7 linked regions of the Sus scrofa genome follow. The protein of the gene in region 2 purifies or fractionates together with the protein of the main gene of each other region. This does not show direct contact. Links are inferred from orthologs where the notes say so. Each region holds a gene or a part of one and is shown on either strand. Other genes may lie near its edges. The genes, in order: NUMB, AP2M1, NECAP2, NECAP1, CLTC, RALBP1 and MEA1.

Region 1 (3,941 bases), on a different chromosome or scaffold from region 2:
CCAGCTTCTCAAAATCTGTGGACATTTCTCCCTAAAGCACTAAATTAACAGTAATAATCTAATAAGAAGAGTAGCACCGAGAAATCTCTGCCTGCATTTACACCTGGTAGCACTGTCAGTGGGTTCTCCGCAGCTTAAAACTGGGACTTGTACTTTTTCCTTCAAGATGTAGGTGTTTTGTTTTTGTTTTTGTTTTTTTTTTTTTTGGTCTTTTTGTCTTTTCTAGGGCTGCACTCGCGGCATATGGAGGTTCCCAGGCTAGGGGTCTAATTAAAGCTGTAGCTGCCAGCCTACACCACAGCCACAGCAATGCCAGATCTGAGCTGCATCTGCGACCTACACCACAGGTCACGGCAACACCGGATCCTTGACCCACTGAGCAAGGCCAGGGATCGAACCCGAAACATCATGGTTCCTAGTCAGATTCGTTAACCACTGAGCCATGACGGGAACTCCAAGATGTAGGTTCTTGATAGCATCTGCTCCTCACAGAGATCAGATGCATCAGAATTAAAAATCTGTTACAGGATGCATGTTTTCCCAATTTTACTTTTAAATGTCTTTGCAGCTTCTTCAACTGTACTCTCAGCTTCCCTGGGTAGTTTAACATAACGGAAGCCACTCTAAAGGAAAAGACTTTGTTTAGATTTTCAGCTTTGTCCTGAAGGTCTTCATTTGCTAAGAGTTCTCTTTGTGAAAAACCTTGCCCCGATAGCTTCCAAACATTAACCTGTTGGGGAAAACTGTTTAAATAAACACACATTGTAGCAGAACAGACTGTACCTTTTTTGGCATCTTGGATTTGTTTCATAATCTCCTCTCTTTCTGCTTGTTCGGTGGCTGTTGTGACACGGAAGGATCCTTCTCTTGTGAAAGTGGTCCGACTGGCATCAAAAGTAGCTGTCACTCCACATTCTTTCTCCCGCTTCTGCTTACGTTCTAAACAGGCTGCAAAAGCACAGCCTACTGCATGGCTCAGTCTTTCACCCTGTACATAACAGGTTTAAAAAAGTTTAGAATTATGGTGTCAACAATTACAAATTATCTTGGGTCACAGATAAGTCTGTTTTCACACTGGCAAAATGTTAGGAATTCCAGCTTAAAATTAGAGTTTAGTATGTTAATATGCCGAATTAAGCTTAAACGAATGATTATATTGGGAAATGCTTATGATCCTTTATGGTAGGAGGCACTGGGTAAAGCGACCCTCAAGAACCTGTGCTTTGTGAGCAGCCACCAACACTTCCTATCAGTCAGGTCCCTTTGTCACTCACGTTAGCTCTGGCCACCTCCTTAGAAGAGATTGTTAAGGTTTCAAGCCCTAAGTCTGGACACACAAACCTCTATTTGCTTTTTAGAGGAATAGTAAGAATATTTACCAAGCATTTCTAAAAAACCACTGCAAATCCAGGACAAATATCAGGGTTTAGATATACTGTCAACACGTCTAGGGACAAAAGGCGTAAACTTAAAACTTCAGATTAATAAATACAAATCTAGTGATGAGAAGGAATGAGATAAAGGAAAGTTTAGTTTTCTCAAGCCTCCCTTTCTGTGTGCTTCCCCTCTGGCCCATTTGGGCCCTCGGTGATTGCAAGCTCTCTCCCATACCTTCTACTTTTTTTCTTTGGCTGCACCCACGGCATGTGGAAGTTCCCAGGCCTGGGATCAAACCTTCGCCACAGCAGCGACAATGCCAGATCTTTAACCCACTAAACCACAAGGGAACTCCCTTTCCTATCTTCTTCTAGCATTCTCTAACCCCAATTCTAACTCCCAACCACACAGAGGCAAGAGTTAAAAGTAGAAAGTTATCCACACTTTCTATTTATAAAGGAATTATGCAGATACATCTCATTTGTTTCTGAGTGGAAAAAGTGGAGGGCTTATATAAACTAAATATTGTTTTAAAAATATATTGGATTGCCTAGAGTAAATTTAATAAACTTGGTGGCTTATTTTTACCAGGGTTACCTGTATTTTATTTTATTTTTATTTATTTATTTATTTTTTTGCTTTTTAGGGCCACACCCACGGCATATGGAGGTTCCCAGGCTACAGGTCCAACTGGAGCTATAGCTGCTGGCCTACACCACAGCCATAGCAATGCAGGGTCTGAGCTGCATTTGCGACCAACACCACAGCTCATGGCAACGCCAGATCCTTAACCCACTGAGTGAAGCCAGGGATCAAACCCGCAACCTGATGGTTCCTAGTCAGATTCGTTTCCACTGTGCCGCGATGGGAATTCCTATATTTTAAACTTTATCCCTAATTGTGAAATTTTAAAATTTAGAGATGATCTAGTAACTGTTGGCATCTTTAACAGTGAGAAGAGATTTGAGAACAGGGAGCCCTTTGTGGAGTTTTCAAAATCACATCAGGTAAGCAGCTGCCCCTACATATGTTTCTGAGTAAGTTTACTGGACTTCAAACGCCCATATAGAGACACTGTAAGAGGAGGTAAATGTCTTCAATGTTTTTTCCCAAGACTTCATTTGACTGTAAACTGTAAGGTCTTATATGACTGCTTATTTAAAGACTGACAGACTCAATCTTTATGAATTCATATGACTTTCTGTCTAACTTCTTCGTAGGATGATAAAAAGGTAGGCATTGAAATGTGAAACAGGAGAGAGTACTGGTAGTGAAAGAATTTTAGAACTTGTCTGCATTTGAACACAGCCCTATTACAAAGACACAACTATAGGCCAAATTAGCTTATTATTTCTCCTAGGCCTTAGGGAAGAAGTTCTTGGAAACAGATCCCTTGAGCTCCATCTCAAACCTACTGAATGAAAAACTCCGCAGGTGAAAAAAAAAAAAAAAAAAAAAAAAACTACAGGTGGGACCAAGCCATCTATTTTAACAAGTTCTTAAGGTGATTCTGAAACGGGAACCACTGGCCTAGGACAGTCAAAGAGCTTGAAGAACCATGATTTGCCAACAGAACTATATTATTTGCCAAAAAATATAGGGAAAATCTTGAACTCTTTGGATTCTGTGAGTGCACTGTTAGCAAAATACCCTGCTTTGTGGCTTAAGGTCTGATAGGAAGAAAGCGTTGTTTAGTTCTTTCAACTCATTCTCAAAGCACTTGTGTCAAAACCAAGGAGGAGCAGCTCTAACAATATCAGCCACTATTCTGGAGCAGTTCCCACAGGGAGGCACTATGTTAAGAGTGTTTATACTCATGACCAAATTCAGTCTTCACACCTATTATCTCCATCTTAGAGAAGTGGATACTAAGACCTAGAAAACGCTAAATAACCTGCCCCAAATCTCACAGTTAGTAAGAACCAGAACCAGGACTGGAACCTATATCTGATTCAGAGCCTGAGTTCCTAATGTTTGTTTATATACTGCTTTAAAAAACCCTTTTAGGAGTTCCCGTCCTGGTGCAGTGGAAATGAAAATCCGACTAGGAACCATGAGGTTGCAGGTTCGATCCCTGGCTTCGCTCAGTGGCTTAGGGAATCTAGCATTGCTGTGAGCTGTGGTGTAGGTCCCAGACTCTTCTCGGATTCTGCATTGCTGTGGCTCTGGTGTAGGCCAGCAGCTGTAGCTCCAATTAGACCCTTAGCCTGGGAACCCCCATATGCCGTGGGTGAGGCCCTAGAAAATACAAAAATACAAAAAAAAAAAAAAAAAACCAAACTAAAAAAACCTTTTGGTCAGCATTGAGTATGGCCACCACTTCCCTTCTAGGTTAAACCTTGGCAAGAGTTACTTAGTTGTAGCCTCCATGAATGCAGAATGGCTATACTGCCTTATTTTGTCTGGACTTTATTTAGTTATTTTTGTTTTTTTCCTAGGGCCTCTCCTGCGGCATATGGAGGTTCCCAGGCTAGGGGTCTAATTGGAGCTGTAGCTGCTGGCCTACACCAGAGCCACAGCAACGTGGGATCCGAGCCGAGTCTGCAACCTACACCACAGCTCAT
Region 2 (3,708 bases):
TAACTATTTTACATGAAACAGAACTCTGACGCAGAGATGACAGATATGGTTTCTTCAACATTGCAAAAGCCAGGGGAGAACCTATGGTTTTTAAGATTGAAGAAGCAATCACCAATCAAAATGGACCTTGTTTGGATCCAGATATAAGCTGTGAGAAATTCTGTAGGACACTTGGATTAATAAGCATGAACACAGACTGGATGTGATATTAAAGAATTGACCACAAGTTGAAACATCATGATGGGACATGGGGTTCATTATATATTTTCTATTTCTGTTTGTTTGAAAAATTTCTCTAACAGATATTTTAGGTTTAAAAAGGCTAAGACCAAGCAAGGGAAAACTGGTGATGGCACATCTTTATCTGCTCCAACACCTGAGCAGAATAAAGAAAACTCCATTAGAGACTTGCTTATTTGCACACAATGCTCTGGAGAGGGGGAGGCATAGAAGGGAGGAATTTTGTTAAGAGGCCTGGGAAGAGGATGGAATTGAGAGGTTAGTTTCTAAGGATGGCTGGAAAGACCAACTGTAAACCCTGCTTAATCTCTGCCAATAGAGAAATACCTGCCTAAAATAAAGCTGAGGCTGATTTTAGGAAAAGAATCTCTACCCTCAAGGAATTGAGTGGCACGGTGTCAGGTGGGGCTGCCTGCCCTTGAGGCTATTTCTCAGAGGAGACCTGGAGCTAATACCTGTCAGGATAAGGGCTTGGATGGCCCTAGCAGTTGAGCCTTGACAAAGGAAGAGAGTTTAGAAACGAAATTCTGCTCAAGACAGTCCTTTTAAGACAGGAAGGAAGCGGTCCCACCAGATCCCCTCCCCATGTAGCCACCACATCAACACTTGGCCAGCAACTCCGTTCTACAGAGTTTATTGGGTTTATAACTGGACGAAGTCACAAGTGTACAAAATGAAGCTCACACTAGCCCAAAGCAGAGTAGGAATTGAGGGCTGGGGATCCGTTACTGGCCTTTGGGGGAGCTCCGAGGTGAGGGGCAGCCAACCCTCCCACTCCAGAGAGATGTGGCCATAGGGGAGGGGAGGAGAAGGGGCCCATCTGACTTTGGTCACAGAACTCAGAGCCTGGCATTGGGCCAGGGCTGGCAGATGGATGGAAGAGCAGGAGCCTCAGAAACCACCCTGCCCAGGGAGCCCAGGGACTGTTCCACCAGTCCCGCTTGCAACATGGTTGGTCCAGACCTAGACTCAGGGGCTGGTGCAAAGGGAAGGCAGCAAAGCAGGAGGGAGGAGACACTGATGTGTGGTGGCCGAGGGCACCCAGACCTGTGGAAGAGGGTGGGTGGGGAGACGGGCTAGCTGTCACTAGGCAGCTAGCAGCGGGTCTCATAAATGCCACTGCGGCCAATGTAGCGCACCCATTTGATGACATCGTGGTCGCTGTAGTTCAGCTTCGGTTCAAACACCTTCAAGTAGCGCACCTTGAGGCCAGAAGGCGCGAATGGCACCTGGGCAAGGGACAGCTCCAGTTAGGAATGTGGCCTCCCTTTCATAGCTCCTCTCCTCATAGCCCTGCCCTACCTCATCTCTACTACAGGTGTTTGAATCTTTGGGGCCCTTGGGGAAGCTGGGGTGCTGAGGGGTCCTCTGAGAGGTTACTAAAGATAGCATATCCAAGAGTAACTTGCAATCATTTGGGTTTGAAGTCAAGCTCTGCCTGTGACAACTTAAAGATCAGTTCCTTTAATCAGCAGCGGCAGTAATCAAAGACTTGCCTTCGAACATACTTATCCTGCTCAATATTATGGACTTAAACAGTAAGGTGGAGAAAATTACATGTCCATCATGCACAAAGCAAAGTCAGCCCGCTTTCCTGTCTCTAAGTAAACTTTGTGTCTTACTTGTCATGGAAGTAATCTACATTTTCCCTAATAATTGTTTTATGACAAGCCAAATAAATGAAATCAAAGATTTTTGTCTAAATAGAAATTTCTAGTAGGAGGCCTGAGTGGGGAAGGAATAGGTCTAGGAATTGAGGTTACTTCTCTCTGGGCCTCAGCTTCCTCATCTGCAAAGTGATAAATACTGAGCTTGATCCGAATGATCTCTAAGGTTTTTCCTAGCACACCCTGCCATGGTTCTAGGCCCCTTCCCTGCCATACCTCAAAGTTCATCGAAATGGGGGGTCGAGCCCATTTCTTCTTGTCATTGGTGGGCAGAAGCTCAATCTCAGCGCTGATCTGTGATTCCTTCATGCCTGCCATGCGCTTGATCCTGGAAACAGAGGGGCAACAGGTAGTAGGTGCCCCTAAGAGCTTGGAGGAGCTTCCGGGATCAGGGTGGTTCCCCTTTGGGAGGTTGGGAGGTGGCAGGGAAGAGAACCCAGCAGCTTGTGGGAAGTGCTAAGGCAAGGAAACATGATGAGGACTCTGATAACCTCCTGCTGTGAAACCTCGGGTCTGTTACTCCTTTAGCACTGTGCACTGCAGTTTAGACACATGACCATGCTATCCCTTGCTCCATCTACTTCACAGAGATAGGACAAGGGCAAACTGGGAAATGTTAAAGAAACTTGATAAATGCATAAACTCGCCCCAGTGATATGTACACTCACACAGAGCTGTAAGGGGTGACGACACAAGCAGAGGTCCCTGGAGAAACAATCACTCCCCACCCCCTGCCACACACACACAAAGGATGAAAGGGGAAACTTAACAGGGTACACCAAGGCATTTGGAGCCCTGCTGTGGCCTCAAGAAGGAAAGACTCACTTCCACACGATGGCGTTCTCGCTGGCCTTGTACTTAGCCTTCCCCTTCATGCAGATCACCTGCACCCCGCTGGTGTTCAGTGGGGTTGGGATCCTCACCTAGAAGTGACACACCTGTCAGCGAGCGCTGCCAAGCACTGACATCAGCTGCCTTTATTGCTGAAGAGAGATGCTTCCTCCTCCCCATGTTCCTTATCCTCACCTCAATCTTCTGAGCCAGTAGTGAGGGCTTGAAGTTGGACTTAATGACCACCTTGACCTCCAGCTTGGTGCGCCCCACTTCCCGAACTAGCGGGATCACTCGGAAGGGAAGGATGATGTCCTTGGTGGTGCGATACCTTCAGAGATGCAATACCTTTAGGCTGGCATAGCAGAGCCTGTCCTCTACCCTTTCCCCCCTCTCTGCCAACAGGACCCCCTGTTCCTCACACCCCACTGGCACCTCATGAGCTCAAATTCTCCATCTGGTGGGATGAAGCTGATGCTGCGTTCAGAGTCAAACTTGCTGAGTCGAACACACTGGTGGAAGGTGCAGTCATCAATGGCAATTGATTGCTTCCCGCTGCAAGCAAGGGCAGAAGGTCTCCTCATTGGTACAGGAGAGTGGCAGCAGAGTTGGGCTGGGAGACTACCCCACCCCCAGAGGCTGCCAGAACCTGGATGAGGCTTGCACTGTAGTCTATGGAAAGCTGCCATAATGCAGCTTTCTGACTTGGGAGGGGGCAGTCCCTGTTCCAGAGTTAGGGATGAGTGAGAGCTTTACAAACTCATCATCTTTTGAGAGCTCTGCTGCTCAGAACTCAGTTTTAGGCATACTGGGCAGGCAAAGGCCATCAGTATGTAGAGAAGAGTCTTGGACCTTTGGACCTCAGGACCAAACCAAGGGGTTACTGAGTAGAATGAAGACAATCCCCTATCTCTTTTAAGCAGATACTAAGAGCAACCAGCCAAGCACAACCTGGGGAAAAGGGAGTTTG
Region 3 (4,551 bases), on a different chromosome or scaffold from region 2:
ACTCCCCATTCTGGTCTCTTGACTCTATTTAATGGAAGTTTCTGTTTATTAACTCTTTCACACCATAGGATGGAATAACGTTCGGCCTTTAAAGTGAATGAAATTCTGATACAGGCTACAGCACGGATAAACCTTGAAAACAATTAAACTAAGTGAAATAATCAGACTCAAAGGACAAATACTGCATGATTCTAAGTATATGAAGTATTTGGAACAGGCAAATTCATATACAGGAAGTAAAACAGATTCCCAGAGGCTGGGGGTAGCAGGAAAAATGAGGTTTTTTGCTTAATGGGTATAGGGTGTCCGTCTGGGATGATGAAAAGTTCTGGAAATAGACAGTAGTGATAGTTATATCACATTGTGAATGTACTTAATTTTGCTGAATTAGACACTTAAAATGGTTAAATGGTAGTTTGTTATTTTTGTTTGTTTGTTTTTTGCTTTTCAGGGCTGCACCTGCAGCATATAGAAGTTTCCAAGCTAGGGGTCCAATCAGAGCTGCAGCTGCCGGCCTACACCACAGCCACAGCAAAGCCAGATCTGAACTGCCTCTGTGACCTACACCACAGCTCACAGCAAGGCCAGATCCTTAACCCACTGAGCAAGGCCAGGGATCGAACCCACATCCTCATACATACCAGTCAAGTTCGTTACTGCTGGGCCACGATGGGAACTCCAAGGTTATGTATATTTTATCACAATAGTTTTTTAAAACTTAAGACAATAGACCAATCCTGTAATAAACAGCTTACCTAGAGTGAGTAAAAAGGGCAGGGGGAGAGAGAGAGTAGAGGGAAGAAAGAGATGGAGAAAATTTGGGAGCATTCAGTGAACCAAAGATTTGCGATCAGCTGTGCCTCACATAGGATCTGGCATATTATAAGCACTGAATTATATACTTGTGTAATGAATGAGAGAATTGTAAAGGATGATACAGGATTTTGAGAATTTGACTCTGATTAGACATTGTATCTCCTATCACATTCTGTGAGAAATCCAAGTTAAGACCAAGATACTTTTTTTGTTTGTTTGTTTGCTTTTCAGGACTGCACTCACGGCATATGGAAGTTTCCACGCTAGGGGTCGAATTGGAGCTGCAGCTGCCAGTCTACACCACAGCCACAGCAACGCAGGATCCGAGCCACGTCTGCAACCTATGCCACAGGTCATGGCAACGCCAGATCCTTAACCCACTGGGCAAAACCAGGGATCAAACCTGCATCCTCCTGGATACTAGTCCATTTCTTTACCTCTAAGCCACAATGAGAACTCCCTCACATATGGGCTAGGATAAGGGTGGCAGAGTAGGGACATTGCACTTTGCTGGTGGGTCAGGTAAGGATTTTTCTAGAAGAAAGAGCCTCAATCATGTTTTACAGGGTCAGATGATGGGAGGACATCCAGGAAGAGCAGAAGGAAGCAAAGTCTGGGAGAACCCAGAGGTGTTAGGGTGAGCTGTCTAGGTAGCTACAGCTTTGAATCTCAACCAACTGGACGCTAGGTTGGAGGTGATAGGGATGACAATGAGACAACGGATTGCAGTGGGTTCTGTATTGAATTTTCTCTGCAGTCCTCCAGACAGCCCTTGTCTTCTTGTGATAGATGCCTGTGTCTGTCCGCCGCATGTCTTGAGCCAGGGCCTCCAGCAGAGGGCGCGCGGGCGACGAACCGCTGAGGTGCACGAACTGCCTCTCTAGCCCGAGGCGGGTCATAGAGTCGCGCGGCTTCCTCCCCGCCGCGGGGAAGGAGCCGGAAGTCCCGCGGTCTCCCGGCGTCGAGATGGAGGAAGGAGGCTACGAGTCGGTTCTCTGTGTCAAGCCTGAGGTGCACGTCTACCGCATCCCGCCGCGGGCCACCAACCGTGGTTACAGGTGACCACCCGCCGCCGGGCCAGGCTGGTCACAGCCTAACCCCATCCCTGCCTCCCCGACACGCCCCCCTATGGGAGCTGAGGAAGTTCCAGGCTATTGGGAGGAGGGGGGAAGTAATGCTGAGGTTTCTTCCAGTTCGAGGCCAGAGCAGGGAGGGGGACCCAGACTTTTCGGCTGTCTCAGTCCGACGCACGGGGCTCCCGGCCGTGGGGAAGGCATGAAAGCCGTGTCTAGCGCTGGGGGACGCCGGTGGGCTGTTGGGGCCCCTAAACGTGGTCAGGAGTGGTGGTGTCATAGACGTTTATTTTCCAGCGCTGATGGCCTTGAAGGGATCCCTGAAAAGGCTTAAGAGGGAGGGGCCCCATCCGTGGCAGAAACCCCGAGGGGAAGGAAGGGAGCCCCGAACCGCCCCAAGGACCCGTCCCGGAGAGCTGACGTTGAAAGCCCAAGGACTCTTCCTTGGCGCGAAGCCCAGCCGTTATCACAGCCTGTGGCACTTGGGAGGAATCCATCCACATTTGTCTGGTGAAATGTTCACCTGAGCCAAATCAATACATAAGTATTTGTGGATGTAGGGTATGTGGCAGGGAAGACAGGAAACTGGCCCAAGGAGAACAACAGGGGTGGGGCGGGGGTGGGGGTGGAAGGAGACGTCCTTTCCTTGTTTACCTTTTTGTGTTGTTTACATGTTGTCACCATGTATCAAAAGAAGAAAAATATTAAAAGAAAAAAAGATGTACCTGATACAGACAACCCGGTCTATGGCTATTTTGTGCCACTGGGAGTGGGGCGGGGTGGGAGGGAGGTGGTGGATGGGGTTCTTGAAGACAGTGTTTGTCCAAGTTATTTGGAAAGACCGGATTGGCCTGTGCCACAACGACCATGGAGTGTCCACCTACCTGGCCTCTCATTACTTTCCAGTTGTGTTAACACGGGCTCATACTGATTTTATGGTGAACAGACGTGTTCTTGAAGACCTTTGGCATCCACGACATAGTTTAAAAATATGAAAGCAACGGTAGCAACAACAACAAACGCGTATTTGCTTTCTGTCGTCAAACGGGATATGGGCCACCAAACCAGGGATGGTCGTCTACCCCCCATCCCCTTCCTTAGGATGAGTTTGGTCCTTCTTGGTCCCCCAGGGATCAAAGTTACCAAATGTTAGGGCTGGCCATGTTGACTTAGAGGACACTGCCAGCCCCTGCACTTCAGCCTTAGAGCTCTGCCCCCCTTGAGTCTAAGGCCTCTTGCCCCGGGAAGAGGAACTGAAACTGAGTCTGCTGACTTGTGAGTCGAGCCTCTGCGTTTGTGTGGACTTCAAAACAACCTGCGTCCACAGTATGGTGTCTTTCCGAGTCCTGGCATATGCTTAGGGACTTCCAAGAAAAGCCTCTTGGAAACACCCGAGGTTTTTGCTCTTTGGGGGCTTTACTGAGCTCCTTCTTAGAACTAAAATGTCACGTTTATGCTTTAAAGGAGCCAAAAGGGGCCATTGTGATCGGTCCATGGTTTCCTTGGTTTATTTCTTCTTGGGATACCTTTGAGAATATGTTTCTTGAACACTCATTCACTTTGCTCATATGTCCTGTTGCTCTCTTCTCTCTTTTCTTCCACAGTGGTCTCAGTGGTCCCAAAAGATCACTCTGACCACCACAGCCTGACAGAGTCTTAAACAAATCATGTGTCCCAGTAGCTGCTTGCTTTACAGAAGGAAAACTGGAATCCTGCTCCAGAGAAGGTCTCTATAATCTAGAATTGGGGTTGGCAAACGATGACCCACTGTGGTTTTTTTTGGCTCACAAGCTAAGAATGATTTTTGCAATTCAGACTGTCCGTAAAGTTTCACTGAAACATAGTCATGCTCCGTAGAAAATATTTGGTTAAAATACTTAAAGCATCGACAGTTTCATGCACTGTCACGGCTTTCCCTCTGCAGCAGCAGAGTGAGTAGCTGGGACAGAGATCGTGTAAAAGTTTGCCAGCCCCTGGTCTAGAGCAGGCAGCCCGCATGCCCTTCCCATTCCCGTCCCCAGCAGGAGCCTCTGGCAGAGGCACAATGGCTTTTGTCCCTGTAGGGCTTCGGAGTGGCAGCTGGACCAGCCATCATGGAGTGGCCGGCTGCGGATCACTGCAAAAGGGCAGGTGGCCTACATCAAGCTCGAGGACAGGACCTCAGGTAAAGGCAAGGGAGGCCTGCGAGGAGGGGCTGAGGTCTCAGACCTCCCACTTTGTGAAGGGAGAGGCAGCCCAGGCCTGGCCAGGCCAAGCCACCCAGGGACCGTGGGACCCTGTCCTGAAATTCAAAGGCCTGGGTGTCCTTATAAGCCACCTCCATTCCCCCGACCTTCAGTTTAAAAGGGAGTATTTCCTGTCAGGCACATGTTCTTTGGATGTCCTTAAGAAAATACTAATTTTGGAGGCCAGGGAGAAAAGACCTGCGGGTTGGTCCACATAGGAAGCCCTGGAAGATAAGCTGGGTGAAGACGCCCAGCCCCCTGCTGCTGAGCTCAGCTTCTTCCTCGGGAATCCTGCTTATCGGCTAACTGGTAACTTCCCAGACTGACCACACCTATTAACTGAAAGAGCTGGAAACTGCCCTCTCAGCTCTTTTGTGGTGAGAGAAGCCAAGATGGGCTGTGCTGGGGTCAGCTGGCAGTTGTCACCTTTGGTGAAA
Region 4 (3,941 bases), on a different chromosome or scaffold from region 2:
AGGTCAGTGCACCTAAGCCCTGCATTGTTCAAGGGTCAACCATATACACAAATGAGAACACGTAAAAATGATGAAGTCTAAGTAAATATATGGTATCAATGTCAATTTCCTAGTTGCGATGTTCAACCATGGTTGTACAAAACGAGGGTAACTGGGAGTTCCCGTCGTGGCGCAGTGGTTAACGAATCCGACTAGGAACCATGAGGTTGCGGGTTCGGTCCCTGCCCTTGCTCAGTGGGTTAACGATCCGGCGTTGCCGTGAGCTGTGGTGTAGGTTGCAGACACGGCTCGGATCCCGCGTTGCTGTGGCTCTGGCGTAGGCCGGTGGCTACTGCTCCGATTCAACTCCTAGCCTGGGAACCTCCATATGCCGCAGGGGCGGCCAAGAAATAGCAAAAAGACAAAAAAAACAAAAACAAAAACAAAAAAAAACGAGGGTAACTGGGAAAAGGTACATGGGATTTCTTTGTATTATTTTTTACAATTACATGTGAATCTATAATTACCTCAAAATAAAAAGTTTAATTTAAAAAAACAAAACAAATCTCAGATATCTCAGTGACTTCTGGCAACACTTATCAAAAGAAGTAACCTGGAGGAGTTCCTGCTGTGGAAAAGTGGATTAAGGACCTGGTGTTGCCTCAACTCCTGCTGTAGGTCACAACTGAGGAACTTTGATCTCTGGCCTGGGAACTTCCATATGGCTGCAGGTGTGGCCAAAAAAAAAAAAAAGAAAAGAAAAAAAAAAGAAGATGAAGAAGTAGCCTGGAGTTGCCTGGTGGCTCAGTGGGTTAAGGATCCAGCACTGTCCCTGCTGTGGCCTTGATTTGCTCTCTGGCCCACAGGTGCAGCCAAAAAGGAAAAGGAAAAAAAAAAAAAAAAGTAGCCTATAACCACTTTTACCTCAAAAATTCCAGAAAAAGAAAGTCTACTCTTAGCAATCAATTATAAATGATACAATTATTAATGACACAATGTAAAACAAATATTAAAATATAATTAGTTAATAAGTTAAAATGTCCAGATTCTAATATTTGGTTCCCTAATCTTAGGAAATTCCTTTCTGAGTTCTAATTTTGCATCCTTTAAATGGAAAAAACTGTATCTATTCCTTTGTCCTACCAGATAGTAAGGAAAAATGAAAATGTGTTCATAAACCCAGATGTTATCTTATTTCCTCTCAACTGCCCTTGTAGAGAAACAGAAAGGATTATGAAATAACATCCACTGAATGGCTACTATATATATAAGTACTGTGCTGGGTGCCATCACATCACTTCATCCTCACAGTCTTGGGGTAGTTTTATATATCCATTTTACAGGTAATTAATACTGAGACTCAAAGAACTTAAACAATGTTACCAAACACATTCAGATATAAAGCAGAGCTGTGACCAAAATCTTGGCCATCTGACTCTCAAGCCTACTAACATTTCACCAAGGTACAACAAAGGAAACAGTCTTAATATCTACTCATTTTCTGCCAAAGAACCTACCTGATACTATAATTCTCAGCTCACTAGAAAAGCTTTAATCCCTTCCTAAAGGCTGCCAAAATCACCTTGTCAGTACTAAGTGCCATTTATTTATTTACTGGCTGCACCCCTGGCATGTGGAAGTTACCAGGTCAGAGATTGAGCCCACGCCGCAGCAGCAACCCAAGATGCTGCAGTGACAACGCTGGAACCTTGACCCTCTGCGTCACAAGAGAACTCCCCAAGTGCCATTTAATAGCAAAACCATCAACACTCTCCATGGCAAACAGGTACTACCCAATTAAAACTTAAGATATGATTTTTCGAAATTAAAAATACTAGAGATTCACCTGCATCATTACCTCCATGATTAGATTTTGGTATGGGTGGTGGAGTGACATGATTGCTGATGGCAACTGAAGAGGACGGCGGGGGAATTGTGACCTTGCCTCCAGGTGGCGGTGGGAGTAAGCTCAGGCCCCCAGTCCCTGCAGTCTTGGGCTTAGAAGCACCTCCTTTCTTGGTTGTAATGTTCTACAAAAGAAAAAAAGAAAGTGAGAGAAAGAAAAAGAGAGGTCAAGAGCTCCTTGGTGGCCCAGTGGTTAAGGATCTGGCATTGTCACAGCTGTGTCTCAGGTTGAATCCCTGGCTCTGGTCTGGGAATTCTGCACACAGCCAAAAAAAAAAAAAAGAAGAAGAAAAGTCACAGGTTTATGAAAATACAAGAAGGGATGGGAGAACCATACTCACCCCAATACTCAACTTGATGGTCTGTCCTTCCTTGAAACCCAGATCCAACTTGGGACGAGCGTCCATTTCCTGAGATTCTTTGGAAATCTCAGATTCCTGCTTTACCCACCTTCAGTAAAAGAAGGTTGTTTTAATTGGGATCCTCTGAAAGCAGAGTCTGACACACAAATCTGAGTGTAGCTAATTTATGTGAAACACATAAAGGAACATGAAACATGATAAAGGAAAGAGAAAAGCCAAGAAAGAGGGCAACTAGGATTCAATGCCACTGAGGAACCATACAAAATGCATATTAAACTTGTCCCTCCAAAAGAGGGCATTTAGCCACCAGTTCCCATCCTCCACGGCTAAGGGCTGCCCCTGAGGGGGTGTTAATTTCTCAGTTGTTCCAGGCTGCCCCCCCTTTCTAACTAGGTGCCCTTTCACAATTTCAGTAAGTCCTGAAGCAGAAAAGGAGATGTGTCCCCGACCTTGAGATAGGAAGCTGACTACCTGGTGCTGTCCAGCATAGCTGAGCCAAAATCAAATGGGCTGAATACTGCAAAAGGCACAAAACATGCCAACTACAAGAATAACAAAACTGGCACATAACTCCCCACATATCACACACCCAGCCCTACGGTTACTGCTAAGCCTCCCTCAGCCACTTAAAAGCAATGGCGGATGCCCCAGGAGCATAAACAAAAGCATCACCTCAAGCCACTGTACAGGAATTAAAAACATATCCCAGCTATAAGGAAAGGACAGAACAGACACAAAGATAACATGAGAAAACAGTGAATGGAAAGAGTTATATGCAAATGAACTAGTTCACCAAATAAAGAAACCAAGAGGTAAAAGAGACAGTGTCCATTCAACTGAGAAGGAGCATTCCCAAAAAACTTAACCTGGTCGCTAAGAACAAGCTTCACTCACTTGAAGTGATCTTGTAAGGAGACATTAAAGTCGAAGGCATCACCTCGATCTGTGAAGCCAATGCCAATGAAAGCACTGCGCCCTGTTGAAAAAAAAATCAGAATCCTCAGAACAGGAAGTATCCCTTGGGGCAAACTCTGCCCAAGGAAATTATTACCGTTACCCTAACTAGACAGCCATCCGTAAATGTGAAATACTTTCTCACAGACCAGGGGTCCACAAACTACATACAGCCTATAGGCCAAATGCTGCCAGAACTTGTTTTTGTAAATAACTGGAACACAGCCACATAAATTTGTTTACATACTATCCATGGCAGCTTAAACAATATAGCAACAGAACTGAGTAGCTACAGGAGTTCCCTGTTGTGGCACAGCGGAAACAAATCCAACCACAAGGACGCAGGTTCGATCCCTGGCCTTGCTCAGTGGGTTAAGGATCCAGCATTGCTGTGAGCTGTGGTGTAGGCTGCAGACACGGCTTGGATCCCATGTCGCTGTGGTTGTGAAGTAAGCTAGCAGCTACAACTCCGACTTGACCCCTAGCCTGGGAACTTCCCATGCTGCAGCCCTAAAAGGCCAAAAAAAAAACAAGCAGTTACAAAGAAACCACTTGCCCACAAAACCTAAAATATTATTATCTTTGTCTTTATAGAAAAAGTTTGCCAACCTCTGATATAGACTATGGAGAAAAGATAATGACTGCCACAAACATAGATGATTTAAGATAGTCCAACCAAAAGCCACCACAAACAAAGAACAGGCAATATGTTTCAATTCTTTGGTTAGATATACATTTGGA
Region 5 (3,941 bases), on a different chromosome or scaffold from region 2:
AAACCAGTTTATAAGTCTTAAGCCTACTTGATATAATGTGCTATATATTTTGTAGTCTGCCATGGTATTTTAGAGAAGACATAATTTTTTCAGTATGGCTACTCGTCCTAATTAAGGATGAGACCTTATGACTTTTTGGAACTGAATTATTTTTTTAGTCCATTCCTGACATGACTAAGCAAAATAAAAAACACTCTTTCATTGACATTATTTGCTTTCTCTTGCCTTGCTCACTGATGGGCATCCTCAGACATTTTGAGTCAGAATGTTGTCATTCAACTTCTGAGCTGGATGTGATTAGAGAGACAACTTAGGTGTATACTTTTCCACCTGTGTTTAGAGTAGATGTGGGCAGAGAAGAACTTAATAAGTTAGAGTTCTGTTCGGAAACTTAAATTATAATTGGAAGCCGTGAGAAAGCCCCTTTGTGGGTGGTGTTTTACCATTCTCTGGCCTTAACTTAAGGTAGATTGAGGTGTGATTGTTGGAGTTATTCAAATTTTTTTTTTACCTTGAAACAATACACATTCATAGGAAACTGCAAAGACAGTACAGAGAGAGAGAGAGAGATCTTATGTCCTTTACCTGGCTTCCTCCAGCAGTTACATCTTACATTGCTATGTAGTACACCAGAAAAACCAGAAGTTGACTTTGGTATAATTATCATTGAGTAGATTCAAGATATATACTATTCCGTCACCACAAATATTTCTCTTTTGCTACCACTTCTTCCTCACTGTCTCTAACCCCTGATCACTAATTTACCCTCCATTTAGAATTTTGTCTTCTCCAAAATGCTATATAGATAGACTCATGTAGTATGTGATCTTTTGAGAGTGGCCTTTTTTTCTGTTGTTCCCACTGAGCTAATGTCTATGAAAGTTCATTTTATTACTGAGGAGTGTTCTGTGGTATGGTTGTACCATATAGTTAATATTCACCTATTATAGGACATTTTGGTTGTTTTTAGTTTGGGGCTTGCAAATAAAGCTGCTATGGTCCTTTGAGAAGTTGATTATGAGTTTTATTTTCTTTTGAACAGTTACATATTATTGAAGTTGGCACACCACCAACAGGGAACCAGCCCTTCCCAAAGAAGGCAGTGGATGTTTTCTTTCCTCCAGAAGCACAAAATGACTTTCCTGTTGCAATGCAGGTATTTTAAGCAAATCAAAAGGACTTGTTTTCTCTTTTATATAACGTATTAGTGTTCTTGTGTTTTATGTAAGTTCTGGGGCTCTCCCATATTTGAATTTACTGTAAAAATGAAGAGACCATAAATACTAGCTTTTAATTTTTCATAGAAGCCTCTTGTCAAAGTTCTAGAATTTCACCATCTCTAAAATGGAATTGGACTAAATTTTCTTTTTGTATGTTTCATTATTTTACTGAAGTGTTGATTTTCTTTGTACAGATAAGTGAGAAACATGATGTAGTATTCTTGATTACGAAGTATGGCTATATCCACCTCTATGATCTTGAGACTGGTACCTGCATCTACATGAATAGAATCAGTGGGGAAACAATCTTTGTTACTGCACCTCATGAAGCCACAGCTGGAATAATTGGAGTAAACAGAAAGGGACAAGTAAGGAAACCTTGAAAATTAAATTGTGATAAAATAAAATAGCACTTACTACTGTTAGCTTTAACTTTGAATGTCAGAAAATAATATATACCTAAATATGCAGAAGGATATGATAGAGTTTCTTGCTTTAACATTGTCTCAGGGTGAGAAACTGTTTGGCATATATTATAGCCTAGGATTGTGTTTATGTCTCTATTATCAAAAGAAGTGGCGCTTCATGCAAAAACTATTACAGTCACATTTGACTGACTATACTTTTTATAGTGGGTTATCCTCATATGGTCTCTAAGACAGGTTATCAACTACAAGGAAAAGAATTCTTCTTACCTCTTTTTTTCCTCACTCTTTAAGTAATTACTAAATTTTTGTTCATTTTTTGTTTTTTCATGTTTTTTTGGCCATGATATGCAGTGGCTTGATGTGGGATCTCAGTTCCCAGACCTGGGATCAAACCAGGCTGAAGCAGTGAACATGCCAAGTCCTAACCACCTGACCGCCAGGAAACTCCCTGTTACTACATGTTCAGTGTTGGAAGATGATATGTTACAATAGCTTTTGTAGGGTAATTGAAAAGTTACCTTTTGTCACATTTCACAAACCGCTTCACACCATCTAACACAAGTGATCGTTTTTATATGTTTTCTTAGTATTTTATATGTTAAAGTATTCTCTCAGGAGATACTTTTTCCTCTAAAAATATGGTAAACTTTTCAAAAACAAGCTGTTAATTGATCTTGCTTTTTACTAGTTTTCCTTCAAATTAGTATTTTTCCTAGTTTGTAAGCAAAAGAAGTAGATAGGTTTTTTTCCCCTCCTTTATTCTGTTAATTTCCAGAAAATGGTATGTATATGATGAGAGAAATACTCTAGAGAAAGAGTCTTTTCCTACTTATCCATGCCTTACTTCAACTCCATACCCGGTTAGGTGTTTCTCCACTAAGACCCTAGATCTTAGGTAGCCGTCCTCATGGCATTTATCACGACGAATTATGGGTGCTTGATTAACTGCATCAGTTGCTATTCTCCCTTAGGAAAGGAGCTTTTCTTTTTTTAATTGTATTTCTACACCAGTCATTGTCTGGCACAAAAGCGACTTTAAAAATTCATTAGCTTTCATTTATTCAGTTGTGTGTGTCTCTCTTGGAAAAATCAAGAGTGTATTATTGGACTTTTGCTGAACTAGGTTAGTGATAATTTTATGATCATAAAGTTGTTAAGCCAGAGACTATTTTTCCCTCCTATGCTGATGTTTTGTTTTTATTTTGTTAGTTTGTTTTAATTTTATTTTATGGCTGCACCCACAGCATACGGAATAATTCCTAGGCCAAGGGTTGAATCCGAGCTTCTTAACCCACTGTGACAGTGGGTACTCCCTATGCTGATAATTTTAAGATAATATTTAAATTAAAGTATTGTGACTGATCTTACCATACATATTTAATGTTCATTTGATTCTGTGACCTTACTGTTTCCCTTCTCTTCCCACCACAAATTTTCTGTGCCACCTGTCTTGAGTAAGAAGATGGGGGCTTATAGTAACCTTTAGGCCTCAGGACTTTTTTCACTGTTTAAATCAGAGCCAGGGAGTTCCCGTTGTGGTGCAGCGGAAACAATCCGACTAGTGACCATGATGTTATGGGTTAAACTCCTGACCTCACTCAGTGGGTTAAGGATCTGGCATTGCCATGAGCTGTGGTGCAGGTTGCACATGCTGCTCAGATCCTGTGATGCTGTGGCTCTGGCGTAGGCCTGCAGCTGTAACTCGGATTCAGTCCCTAGCCTGGGAACTTCCATATGCGGCAGATGCAGCCCTAAAAAGCAAATAAATAAATCAGAGCCAACTGCTACTGGACCGATGCCTTGAAGGAATGAGTATGTGATTTCTATTGGTTGAAAAATCAAAAGGGATGAAGATGACATTATTGCCACTATCTTGCTTAAATTCTGAACTTGGTAGAACTGAGTACTTTAGAAGATATAGGAACATCGTTAAGTACTGGTTACTAGAAATGGGTCTAAAAGTGGAATAAAGATGAAAATATGGATTTGGTATTTGGGGAAGACTATAGGAAGTATAGTTAGAAGTGGGTTTGTTTCCTTACTTCCCTTTGGAGTTAACTATTAAAGGTGGAAATCAGGTATGCAAATGACTATAAGGAAAGTCTCTCTTTAAAAAAAAGTATATCTGGGGAGTTCCCGTTGTGGCGCAGTGGTTAACGAATCCGACTAGGAACCATGAGGTTGCGGGTTCGGTCCTTGCCCTTGCTCAGTGGGTTAACGATCTGGCGTTGCCGTGAACTATGGTGTAGGTTGCAGACGCGGCTCGAATCCCGTGTTGCTGTGGCTCTGGCGT
Region 6 (3,941 bases), on a different chromosome or scaffold from region 2:
GTGTGATATTCTGTGTGATATGATTAAGTGGTAACACTATCTGATGAAATAACTAAATCTTTAACGTCCTGTAGATGAACGGGTCACCGTCACCCGAAGATACTGTGGGCTCCTCCTCCTCTATGGACAGTTCACTGTCATCAGCAACTGGTTCACAAACCCACACCAAAGATGGGACAATATGCAGATTTCACAGCTACAGCCAATAGGCCAACATGCTCATTATCTGACATGTCAACACTGTCCACACTGTAACAGAAAAAGACCAACATCCAGGCTAAGCCTCTGGTTCACTGCTCTGTGTGGCTCAGCAACAGGACGCGTCCCCGAAACCCCAGGGCTGGCCCAGAGGGCCCGTGTGCACAGCTTGAGTGCAGAGAGGCCGTGTACCTGGACAGTTGGGCTGAGCACTATAGAAATGTTCTGGATGTTCATTTTTGTTTCCAGCTCCTTGGAGATCACATGGTCCATGTGCACGATGAGCCAGGAGATGAGGAGCTGGTTACACTCGGGCAGCTCCCACAAAAGACGCTGGAGCTCCTGTACCTTCTCACCCTCCGAGCTCCGCCCACAGGCCTCCTCAAAGCGGGGCGTGAGCTCCTTGGTGAGCAGGTTTTCAGGCAGGTCCCGAAGGTACTGCTTCAGCAAACTGGCCACAGTGTTGGGCTCATACTCCTCCAGGTTGGGAGACTCCTCTCTGTCATAGGCTGCTTTCAGCTCATCCACCTTGGATTTAATTCCTGAGAACATTCCAATTCAGATGAGAAGGAAAGTGTCAAGAGGAGAAAAAAAAAATCAAACATACAGCCACCTTTGCCACAGCACCCACCCCCCAGGGAGGTCTGAGAAGAGGCCCCAAGACAGTAACAAACCACTAATGGGGCTTTTTACCGGCACAGAGTTCCTCCATAGAGAAGACAAAAGACTATACTAGGAGGTTGACTTTAACCAAAAGTGAAATGATAATGAAAAAACTCAATATTCAGAAAAAAAAAATCAAAGCAACCAAATATGCCAATCAATTCAGGAAAAAAAAAATTTTTAACTTAAAGATAGGTACAAATTCTGGCAAAAACTAAACTATGCTCCAAGCATAAGCCTTGCTCTACACAAGGGGCCAACTGCTTTTTCGAACTAGTCACAAGACTAACACCATAAAATGCAACTTGGTACATGTAAGCCTGTTCCAAAAACTTGTTGGTAATGACTTTTTTAGAAGGTAAAGTTGTTCAATAAATGCAAAAGGTGAGTTCACTATCTATATAAACTCTTGTTGGTCCTCATTAAATAATACCCATCTGATTTTTAAGTTTAAATTCTTTGCATGTTTTCTTAATCTGAACCTAGGAACCAGCAAAAAAAAAAGGAAAATGTGGGTTACTAAAATTGAATTGTTTTGCTTTTCTTAGTAGACAGAAAGAAACATACATACACCAATGTTTTTCAGACACTATTTAATTAAGTCTTTAGCCCAATCTGCACTTAAGTGACCTAACTCAGTGACAGTGATGGCTCATGAGTACAAAGTAGCTTTCTGTGGTTTTTAACACTTAAAACTTTAGGCCAAGATTTACTGGTCAGCTATAAAAAAGGATGAAATTCTACCATTTGTAATAGCACAGATGGACCTAGATAGAGGTTGTTATGCTAAATGAAGTCAGAGGAAGACAAATACTTTATATGTGGAATCTAAAAAGATAAAACAAAGTAGTGAATATAACAAAAAGAAACAGACTCACAGATATAGAAAACAAATCAGTGGTACCAGTGGGGAAAGGGGGTGGGAGGGGCAAGATACAGGTGGGATTAAGAAGTACAAACTACCACGCATAAAATAAATAAGCTACAAGGACTGTACTGTACAGCAAAAGGAATATAGCCAACATTTTATAATAACTATAAATGGAACACAACATTTAAAAATAGTGAATCAGGAGTTCCCGTCGCGGCATAGTGGTTAACGAATTCGACTAGGAACCATGAGGTTGCGGGTTCGATCCCTGCCCTTGCTCAGTGGGTTAATGATCCGGCGTTGCCGTGAGCTGTGGTGTAGGTCGCAGATGGGGCTCAGATCCCGCGTTGCTGTGGCTCTGGCGTAGGCCGGGGGCTACAGCTCCGATTCAACCCCTAGCCTGGGAAACTCCATATGCCGCAGGAGCGGCCCAAAGAAATAGCAAAAAGACAAAAAATAAAATTAAAAAAAATTAAAAATAAAAAAAATAAAAAAATAGTGAATCAGCATGTTGTACTCCTGAAACACATGACACTATACATCAACTACGCGTCAATTAAAAAAAAAAAAAAAGGAGTTCCCTGTTGTGGCTCAGAGTTGATGAATCTGACTAGGGTCCATGAGGACTCAGGTTCTATCCCTGGCCTGCTCAGTGGGTTAAGGATCCGGAGTTGCCGTGAGCTGTGGTGTAGGTCGAAGATGCAGCTTGGATCTGGCATTACTGTGGCCGTGGTGTAGGCCGGAGGCTACAGCTCGGATTGGACCCCTAGCCTGGGAACCTCCATATGCCACGGGTGTGGCCCTAAAATGACAAAACAAAAATAAAAAACAACAGCAAAAAATCAAAAACAGGCCAATTACTGGAAACAAGCCACAAATTAAGGCTGACAGACTATAATGTAAATGACACTCCAGTGTCATTTAATTTGAAGAGAATTTTATAATCAACTATGCTTACCTCTGGGCTCTGAAATTTCTTATCTTATGTGTAAACCTTTCAATGGGACCACAATACATCAGTAACTTATCCAGCACTGGTGAAATAAAATCAGCAACTCTGAGTATGAAAATAACAATATGAATCTTTTCTTTTTTTTAATGGAGGCATCCTCGGCATATGGAAATCCCCAGGCCAGAGACTGAACTCTCATCTGCGCGGCAACCCAAGCCACTGCAGTCAGATTCTTATCCCACTGTGCCACAAGAGGAATTCCAACAATATGAATCTTATTTTTTTCACAATCTTTATCTTGAGGCAGGAAAGTTAGAAACTAATTCCTATTTTCCTACTTTCATAAGTAACACATGGTGACTCCTAACTTTAACTGAAATTCTTGGAGTTCCTGTTGTGGCTCGGTGGGTTAAGAATCCAACCAGTATCCATGAGGAGCCGGGTTCAATCCTTGGCCTCTCTCAGTGGGTTAAGGACCCGGCACTGCTGTGAGCTGTGGTGTAGGTTGCCCACGTGGCTCAGATCTGGCATTGCTGTGGCTGTGGTATAGGTCAGCAGCTGCAGTTCTGATTCGACTCCCAGCCCGGAAACTTCCACATTCCATGGGTGCAGCCTAAAACGGAAAAGAAAAGAAATTCTTGACAAAGACCTCCTCCCTCTCTCGCATATATATTTCACAGATTTCAAATTTTCCCCCAGCAATGCCTGTTCAGAAGATTGCACAGTGAACAATTTAGAGTAAGAATTTGGTTTGTTATCAACATGTTTTCCCTGCAAAAACTGGACGCTTCAAATACAGCGTCCCAGGTACGGAAAGACAATAAGCAAAATTTGTTAGTTTTACAACTGGAACTTACATGTGAATAAATGAGAACCAAAGTTCTCTAGCAGAAACCAGTATTATCAGCCTTCAAAAAGAAAAGTCACAGCCATAACTCTGTAGTCCACAGAGGGCTGAACACAGCACACTGCCAGAGCTTCAAAAATAAATACAAAATTGATCAAAGCAGAAGCTCAGTCCCCAAGGAGCCAACCAACAGGGGAGCAGCTCAGTTTGAATGCTCTGACACATGGAGAGAGGAGTTTCACAACTCTGGCTCCGAAAGAGGGCAAACATCAAAAATAGGTCAAAGACAAAAGAACCCTTTGAACAAAGCTCTAAGACCTCTTCAGAATCCTTCGCCTAAAACAAAACTTCTTCATGCCTATCAAAATCACGAGAGAAGCAGCTATGTTAGTATTGTTCAGATCTTTACA
Region 7 (4,719 bases), on a different chromosome or scaffold from region 2:
AAAGGAAGGTCCCTTGCAAGAAAGACACAGGGCTTTGAGCTGGCTTGCCAGACCCCTGCCCCCACCCAACTTCCCCCAACCCTCCCCCACTCTGCCAAACCTGAAATAGCCCCAGCAGGAAACCACTCTCACTTCATTACTCCCGTCCTCAATCCAAAAGCTCTTGGATCTGGGCTTGTGGGGACAGATAGGAAGGAAGTTGGAGAGCTTAAGAATGGGGGTCCTTCCTCTTCCCTCACAGCTTCTACTCTCCTCTTCAGCTATATCAAGGTAAAGTAAAGAATTCACTGGGCAAGAGGGAAGCAATTCCATCCAAAGGTAGAGGAAAAAACCCTCAGCGTCTTCTCCAAAGGACAACTCAAGCTCATGAAAGACAAGCCCCAGCATCTCCCGGGCGCCTCTGATCCCTGGGGCTCTCCCGTCCGTGCTCCATCACTGCGGCATTCTCCAGCTTCTTCCATGCCTTTCAGAGACCTGCCCCCCTTCCTATTCTCTTGCAATTTTCACTCTCCGTTTCTGGCCTTTTCAGATCTCTTGAGAGCTTTGCAGTTTTCTGCTTTTTCCTTCTCCCACAACTCCAAGCTCCACCCCGACAGCCTTCCATTTTCCTTCTTTCGATAGGGGGGAAACAAGCTAACATCCCCTGACCCCTTTCGGCCAGAGATATTCCTCCCTGTATATGACGCTATCCGGGTCTTCTTCCAGTCATTCCAACCTCCCTGCCCCCACAACACCAGACACCCCCGCCCTTTTCTTCCATTATCCTCAGCTTTCCCATTCTCCTCCTAACCCAGTCTTCCTTCCAGTTCCCTTCAGTGCCTTCTCCAGTTACCAGGTCTCTCCCATCGCTTTCCCCACCATCCTCCCCCAGCCCTTCTTTCCCCCTTAACACTCTCCTTTCCCGTCATCCCCCTCCCCACCCCCACCTCATCGGTCTCCGGCCCCTCCCCCACAATTCAGCTCTAGGCATCGGCGTCCCCATCCCCTATGATTTTCCTCGTCCCTCAACCCACCACGGGCTACCTGCCAGGCCGGGCCGGGGCGGGGCCGCGGGTCCTCGCGCTGCCTGCAGCTTTGAACCCGTTGCCCGCCAACTGCCGACTGGATCTCCAACGAGATAAACACAGCCAGGCTCGGTCCTTCCGGCGGGCAGCTGTAAGCGCACGTGCATTCAGCTCTAAGTGCCGGAAGTCTACCGGGATTTGTAGTCCATCGGTTTCGGGAGGAACGCGAGGGGCTGAAGGATGGGCAGGAGTCGGAGGAGTCTGCGCATGTGCTTATACCTATCAAACACCGCGGGGCCGAGTTCGCGTTGCGGCTCAGTGGTAACGAACCTGACTAGTATCCAAGAGGATGAGGGTTCGATCCCTGGCCCCGCTCAGTGGGTTAAGGATCCGGCCTTGCCACGAGCTGCAGTGTTGGTAACAGACGCGGCTCGGATCCCGTGTTGCTGTGGCTGTGGTGTAGGCCGGGCAGCTGTAGCTCCGATTCAACCCCTAGCCTGGGGACTTCCATATGCTACACAGGCGGCCCTAAAATTAAAAAAAACAAAACAAAACAAAACAAAACCAAACACAAACAACCGCGGGGCCTACCGGGTAATGTAGTCCTTTGTTTGGCGAGAAGATGGTGGAGGCGGAGCAAGGGGCGGACCCTTCGCCTTCACTCGTGTCAATCATGAGCGCGGCGGGGCGGGGCTGGAGGACGGGGCCGCCTCGGAACGTCCTGCCTCGCCGGAAGTGAAGGTGCGGGGTTCGGCCGCGGGCTCTGAGCGGGTGAGGCGCGCGCAAATACCGGCGCCGAGAATTGGTGGGGGCGGGTCGGGGACGCCACATCTGGGGCCATTTGAAGGGATCTCCTGGGGTCCGAAGGGCGTTTATCAGGCGGTACAGAGGGAAATCCCTTAGAGAGGAGAGAAGGGGGCGGGTATGCCTTGTCTAGGGGAGCTTGTTTGGTGACCCGGAGTTCCTAAGTGGATGGGGCGGGGGGGAGGGCGTTCCCGAAGGGGTGTCTTTTGGAAGGTGGCATGGCCTTCGCTTGGGCTGTTATTTAAGAATTGTCGGAGCAAGGCAAGTGGGCCTTGGTTGGAGATAAGAGCCAGCTCAAGAGGTGGAGAGTCCAGGAGAGGTGTTGTGGGGTGCAGGAAACTTGGGCGTTTCAATGTTTTGTGGGCGCAGGAGGAGACCGCACGGGACTGGATGACAGGCTAAAGCTGGGCCTAATTTTGTCTGATCTCTGTTCTCCTGTCTCCATGTTCTTGCAGCCCCTGCCCGATGGCAGCAGTAGTTCTAGGGGGAGACATCATGGGTCCTGAACGTATCTTCCCCAATCAGACTGAAGAACTCGGGCCACACCAGGGCCCTACAGAAGGCACTGGGGATTGGAGCAGTGAGGAGCCAGAGGAAGAGCAAGAGGAAACAGGAACAGGCCCAGCTGGCTACTCCTACCAGCCCCTGAACCAAGATCCTGAACAAGAGGAGGTGGAGCTGGCACCAGTGGGAGATGGAGAAGATGTAGTTGCTGATATCCAGGATCGAATCCAGGTATGGTGGAGGAGGCATTGTTCCTGAACAGGTGAAGCTGGAATCCCTGAAGGGATGACCCTGAACTGTCTTCTCTGGCTCTGCAGGCCTTGGGGCTTCATTTGCCAGACCCCCCATTAGAAAGTGAGGATGAAGATGAAGAGGGAGCTACAGCATTGAGCAACCACAGCTCTATTCCCATGGACCCAGGTAAAAGAGTTTTTTTTTTTTTTTCTTTTTAGGGCCACACCCACAGCATATGGAGAATCCCAGGCTAGGGGCCCAATTGGAGCTGTAGCCACAGGCCTATGCCAGAGCCATAGCAACTTGGGATCCAAGCCACATCTACGACCTACACCACAGCTCACGGCAACACGGGATCCTTAACCCACGAGTGAGGCCAGGGATCGAACTTGTGTCCTCATGGATGCTAGTTGGGTTTGTTAACCGCTGGGCCACAACGGAAACTCCAAGAGATCGTTCTTTTATTCTGGAATAATTACGGAGGAAGGGAACTGGTTAGAGCCAGTAGAGGGGAGTCACAGAGGATCACCCTGTTCCTAAAGCAGCAGTTTGTGGTAAGTTTGCAAACTTGAGAATCCAGGTGAAATGCTTTTCTTAGACTTGTTGTGGGGCGGTAGGGGGGGGTGGTGCAGGCTTGCTTAGGAATCACAAGATGACTTCAGTGTCCCAAAAGCTCTGGGTTCCTTTAGCCAAAGGAGAGGGGAACGGGTCCATTGTTTCTATTCCCTAACTGGTCTCTGCCTGTGATTTCAGAACACGTAGAGCTGGTGAAAAGGACCATGGCTGGAGTAAGCCTGCCTGCGCCAGGGGTTCCTGCCTGGGCTCGGGAGATATCAGATGCCCAATGGGAAGATGTGGTACAGAAGGCCCTCCAAGCCCGGCAGGCCACCCCTGCCTGGAAGTGACCACCCTGAGGCTGCCTTATCTCCCTGCATTCGAGGCCAGAACCAGCACAGGACTGAACGCATCCTGGTTGTAGTGTCCATCTCCATCCTCCCCACCTCCCTCTCCACATCAAGGCAAATCAGACGTCTTCTCAGAGACCCACTTTATTCAGTTCTGTACATATGGGGACATCCACCCAGGCCCAACCCACCTTAGCATGTATCACTCTGTGGAGAATAAAGCACCCTATGTACACAGCCAGAAGCTGTGCTGCCTGTGCCCCTGGACCTCAAGCCCGGCCCTCCCCAGCGTCTTGTCCCTCCAGGGTGCCTGAAAGGGACAAGGGAGGGCCTGGCTAGCATCAGTACAAACAAGGAAATAAATAGGTGTTGGGGGGAGCCATGCTTGGGGCACTGCTCCCTGCTTCCTTCCTCCCGGCTTTGGCAACCAACACCATAGAGCAGTCAGCCCCAGGGTGGTCCCTTCTGTGTCAATGATCCCGGGGCTGCTGTTCACCCAAAAGGGGGCACAGGGTGGGGTGTTTGTTCATCCCTTTCTCTTGGTCCATCAGGGCTCCACATTCACCACCTCTTGTCCAGAGCCTATGCTTTCTCCCTTCTGCCCTCCCACGTTGTCTTGGTCAGGCAGAAGGTAAGAGGAAATAACGCACCCCCATCAGTTTGCGCACTGCCGGGGCTGGGGGCCTATTTGTGCCATCGGGGGTTGCTCCCCTGCAGCTAATCCACTCCAGGGACCAATGGGGCGACATAACTTTGGTGAGAATTGTCTCCCACTGCTCCCTATATGCCTGCAGGGGAGGGAGAGGAGGAGACACCTGGGGTGCCAAGGAGGCTGAAGGGAAGAGGGGAGGGGGCGTATATTCCTGTGTGTATTCTCAGAGCGGCCTCATGTAGCTGTGGGTGAGGAGCAGGAGGGGGCCAGGCGTCCCCAAGTTGTCTGAGCACTGAGCATCGCAGCGCACAGCCTCTGTACTAGCCGCGGGGAGGCATGAACACATGTGGGGGAGACAAGGGACCGCTCTGTGGGGGGGGTCCCTGCTTCAAGCGCCACACCCCCCTCCCTGGAGTAGAGAGGCACTGCCCTGCCCAGAGTCAGCCAGTGGGGAGCAGAGGGTGGAGGGCCGGGGCAGTGTCCCAGGGCCGAGTGGGCTGTGGCCCTGTGGCGGGGAGGTGAGGAGGTCAGAGAGCCTCCTGGCTGGCAGTTAGGAACTCTTCCGCCCGTTTGTGCGCCTCCAGTGCCTTGATGGTGTACACGTCCTGGGGCAGCT

What was found.
Region 1: the proteins of AP2M1 (region 2) and NUMB purify together in Homo sapiens (affinity purification with mass spectrometry; 3 studies listed by BioGRID and IntAct, counting the BioPlex papers as one, with this or other methods). This does not show direct contact. The link is inferred for Sus scrofa from reciprocal best matches to the Homo sapiens genes AP2M1 and NUMB.
Region 3: the proteins of AP2M1 (region 2) and NECAP2 purify together in Homo sapiens (affinity purification with mass spectrometry; 4 studies listed by BioGRID and IntAct, counting the BioPlex papers as one, with this or other methods). This does not show direct contact. The link is inferred for Sus scrofa from reciprocal best matches to the Homo sapiens genes AP2M1 and NECAP2.
Region 4: the proteins of AP2M1 (region 2) and NECAP1 purify together in Homo sapiens (affinity purification with mass spectrometry; 3 studies listed by BioGRID and IntAct, counting the BioPlex papers as one, with this or other methods). This does not show direct contact. The link is inferred for Sus scrofa from reciprocal best matches to the Homo sapiens genes AP2M1 and NECAP1.
Region 5: the proteins of AP2M1 (region 2) and CLTC purify together in Homo sapiens (affinity purification with mass spectrometry; 3 studies listed by BioGRID and IntAct, with this or other methods). This does not show direct contact. The link is inferred for Sus scrofa from reciprocal best matches to the Homo sapiens genes AP2M1 and CLTC.
Region 6: the proteins of AP2M1 (region 2) and RALBP1 purify together in Homo sapiens (affinity purification with mass spectrometry; 3 studies listed by BioGRID and IntAct, counting the BioPlex papers as one, with this or other methods). This does not show direct contact. The link is inferred for Sus scrofa from reciprocal best matches to the Homo sapiens genes AP2M1 and RALBP1.
Region 7: the proteins of AP2M1 (region 2) and MEA1 purify together in Homo sapiens (affinity purification with mass spectrometry; 3 studies listed by BioGRID and IntAct, counting the BioPlex papers as one, with this or other methods). This does not show direct contact. The link is inferred for Sus scrofa from reciprocal best matches to the Homo sapiens genes AP2M1 and MEA1.

Annotation. Positions count from the first base shown.
Region 1 is NC_010449.5:96,634,514-96,638,454, forward strand, and holds part of NUMB (protein numb homolog), read right to left. Parts: intron 989-3,941; coding exon 784-988; intron 1-783. UniProt on the Homo sapiens protein: Regulates clathrin-mediated receptor endocytosis. Plays a role in the process of neurogenesis.
Region 2 is NC_010455.5:122,100,559-122,104,266, reverse strand, and holds the end of AP2M1 (AP-2 complex subunit mu), read right to left. Parts: intron 3,294-3,708; coding exon 3,174-3,293; intron 3,070-3,173; coding exon 2,934-3,069; intron 2,831-2,933; coding exon 2,733-2,830; intron 2,236-2,732; coding exon 2,124-2,235; intron 1,470-2,123; coding exon 1,335-1,469; 3' UTR 859-1,334; downstream 1-858.
Region 3 is NC_010448.4:75,525,461-75,530,011, forward strand, and holds the start of NECAP2 (adaptin ear-binding coat-associated protein 2), read left to right. Parts: upstream 1-1,715; 5' UTR 1,716-1,782; coding exon 1,783-1,874; intron 1,875-3,952; coding exon 3,953-4,053; intron 4,054-4,551. Other genes in the region: SPATA21 (spermatogenesis-associated protein 21), read right to left, coding at 1,584-1,715. UniProt on the Homo sapiens protein: Involved in endocytosis.
Region 4 is NC_010447.5:63,128,729-63,132,669, reverse strand, and holds part of NECAP1 (adaptin ear-binding coat-associated protein 1), read right to left. Parts: intron 3,223-3,941; coding exon 3,141-3,222; intron 2,335-3,140; coding exon 2,226-2,334; intron 2,010-2,225; coding exon 1,826-2,009; intron 1-1,825. UniProt on the Homo sapiens protein: Involved in endocytosis.
Region 5 is NC_010454.4:35,876,695-35,880,635, forward strand, and holds part of CLTC (clathrin heavy chain 1), read left to right. Parts: intron 1-1,042; coding exon 1,043-1,156; intron 1,157-1,414; coding exon 1,415-1,588; intron 1,589-3,941. UniProt on the Homo sapiens protein: Clathrin is the major protein of the polyhedral coat of coated pits and vesicles. Two different adapter protein complexes link the clathrin lattice either to the plasma membrane or to the trans-Golgi network.
Region 6 is NC_010448.4:98,567,648-98,571,588, forward strand, and holds part of RALBP1 (ralA-binding protein 1), read right to left. Parts: intron 741-3,941; coding exon 391-740; intron 1-390. UniProt on the Homo sapiens protein: Multifunctional protein that functions as a downstream effector of RALA and RALB. As a GTPase-activating protein/GAP can inactivate CDC42 and RAC1 by stimulating their GTPase activity.
Region 7 is NC_010449.5:38,077,281-38,081,999, reverse strand, and holds MEA1 (male-enhanced antigen 1), read left to right. Parts: upstream 1-1,739; 5' UTR 1,740-1,775; exon of another isoform or gene 1,776-1,886; intron 1,887-2,180; 5' UTR 2,181-2,273; coding exon 2,274-2,543; intron 2,544-2,629; coding exon 2,630-2,732; intron 2,733-3,299; coding exon 3,300-3,451; 3' UTR 3,452-4,108; downstream 4,109-4,719. Other genes in the region: PPP2R5D (serine/threonine-protein phosphatase 2A 56 kDa regulatory subunit delta isoform), read right to left, coding at 4,631-4,719. UniProt on the Homo sapiens protein: May play an important role in spermatogenesis and/or testis development.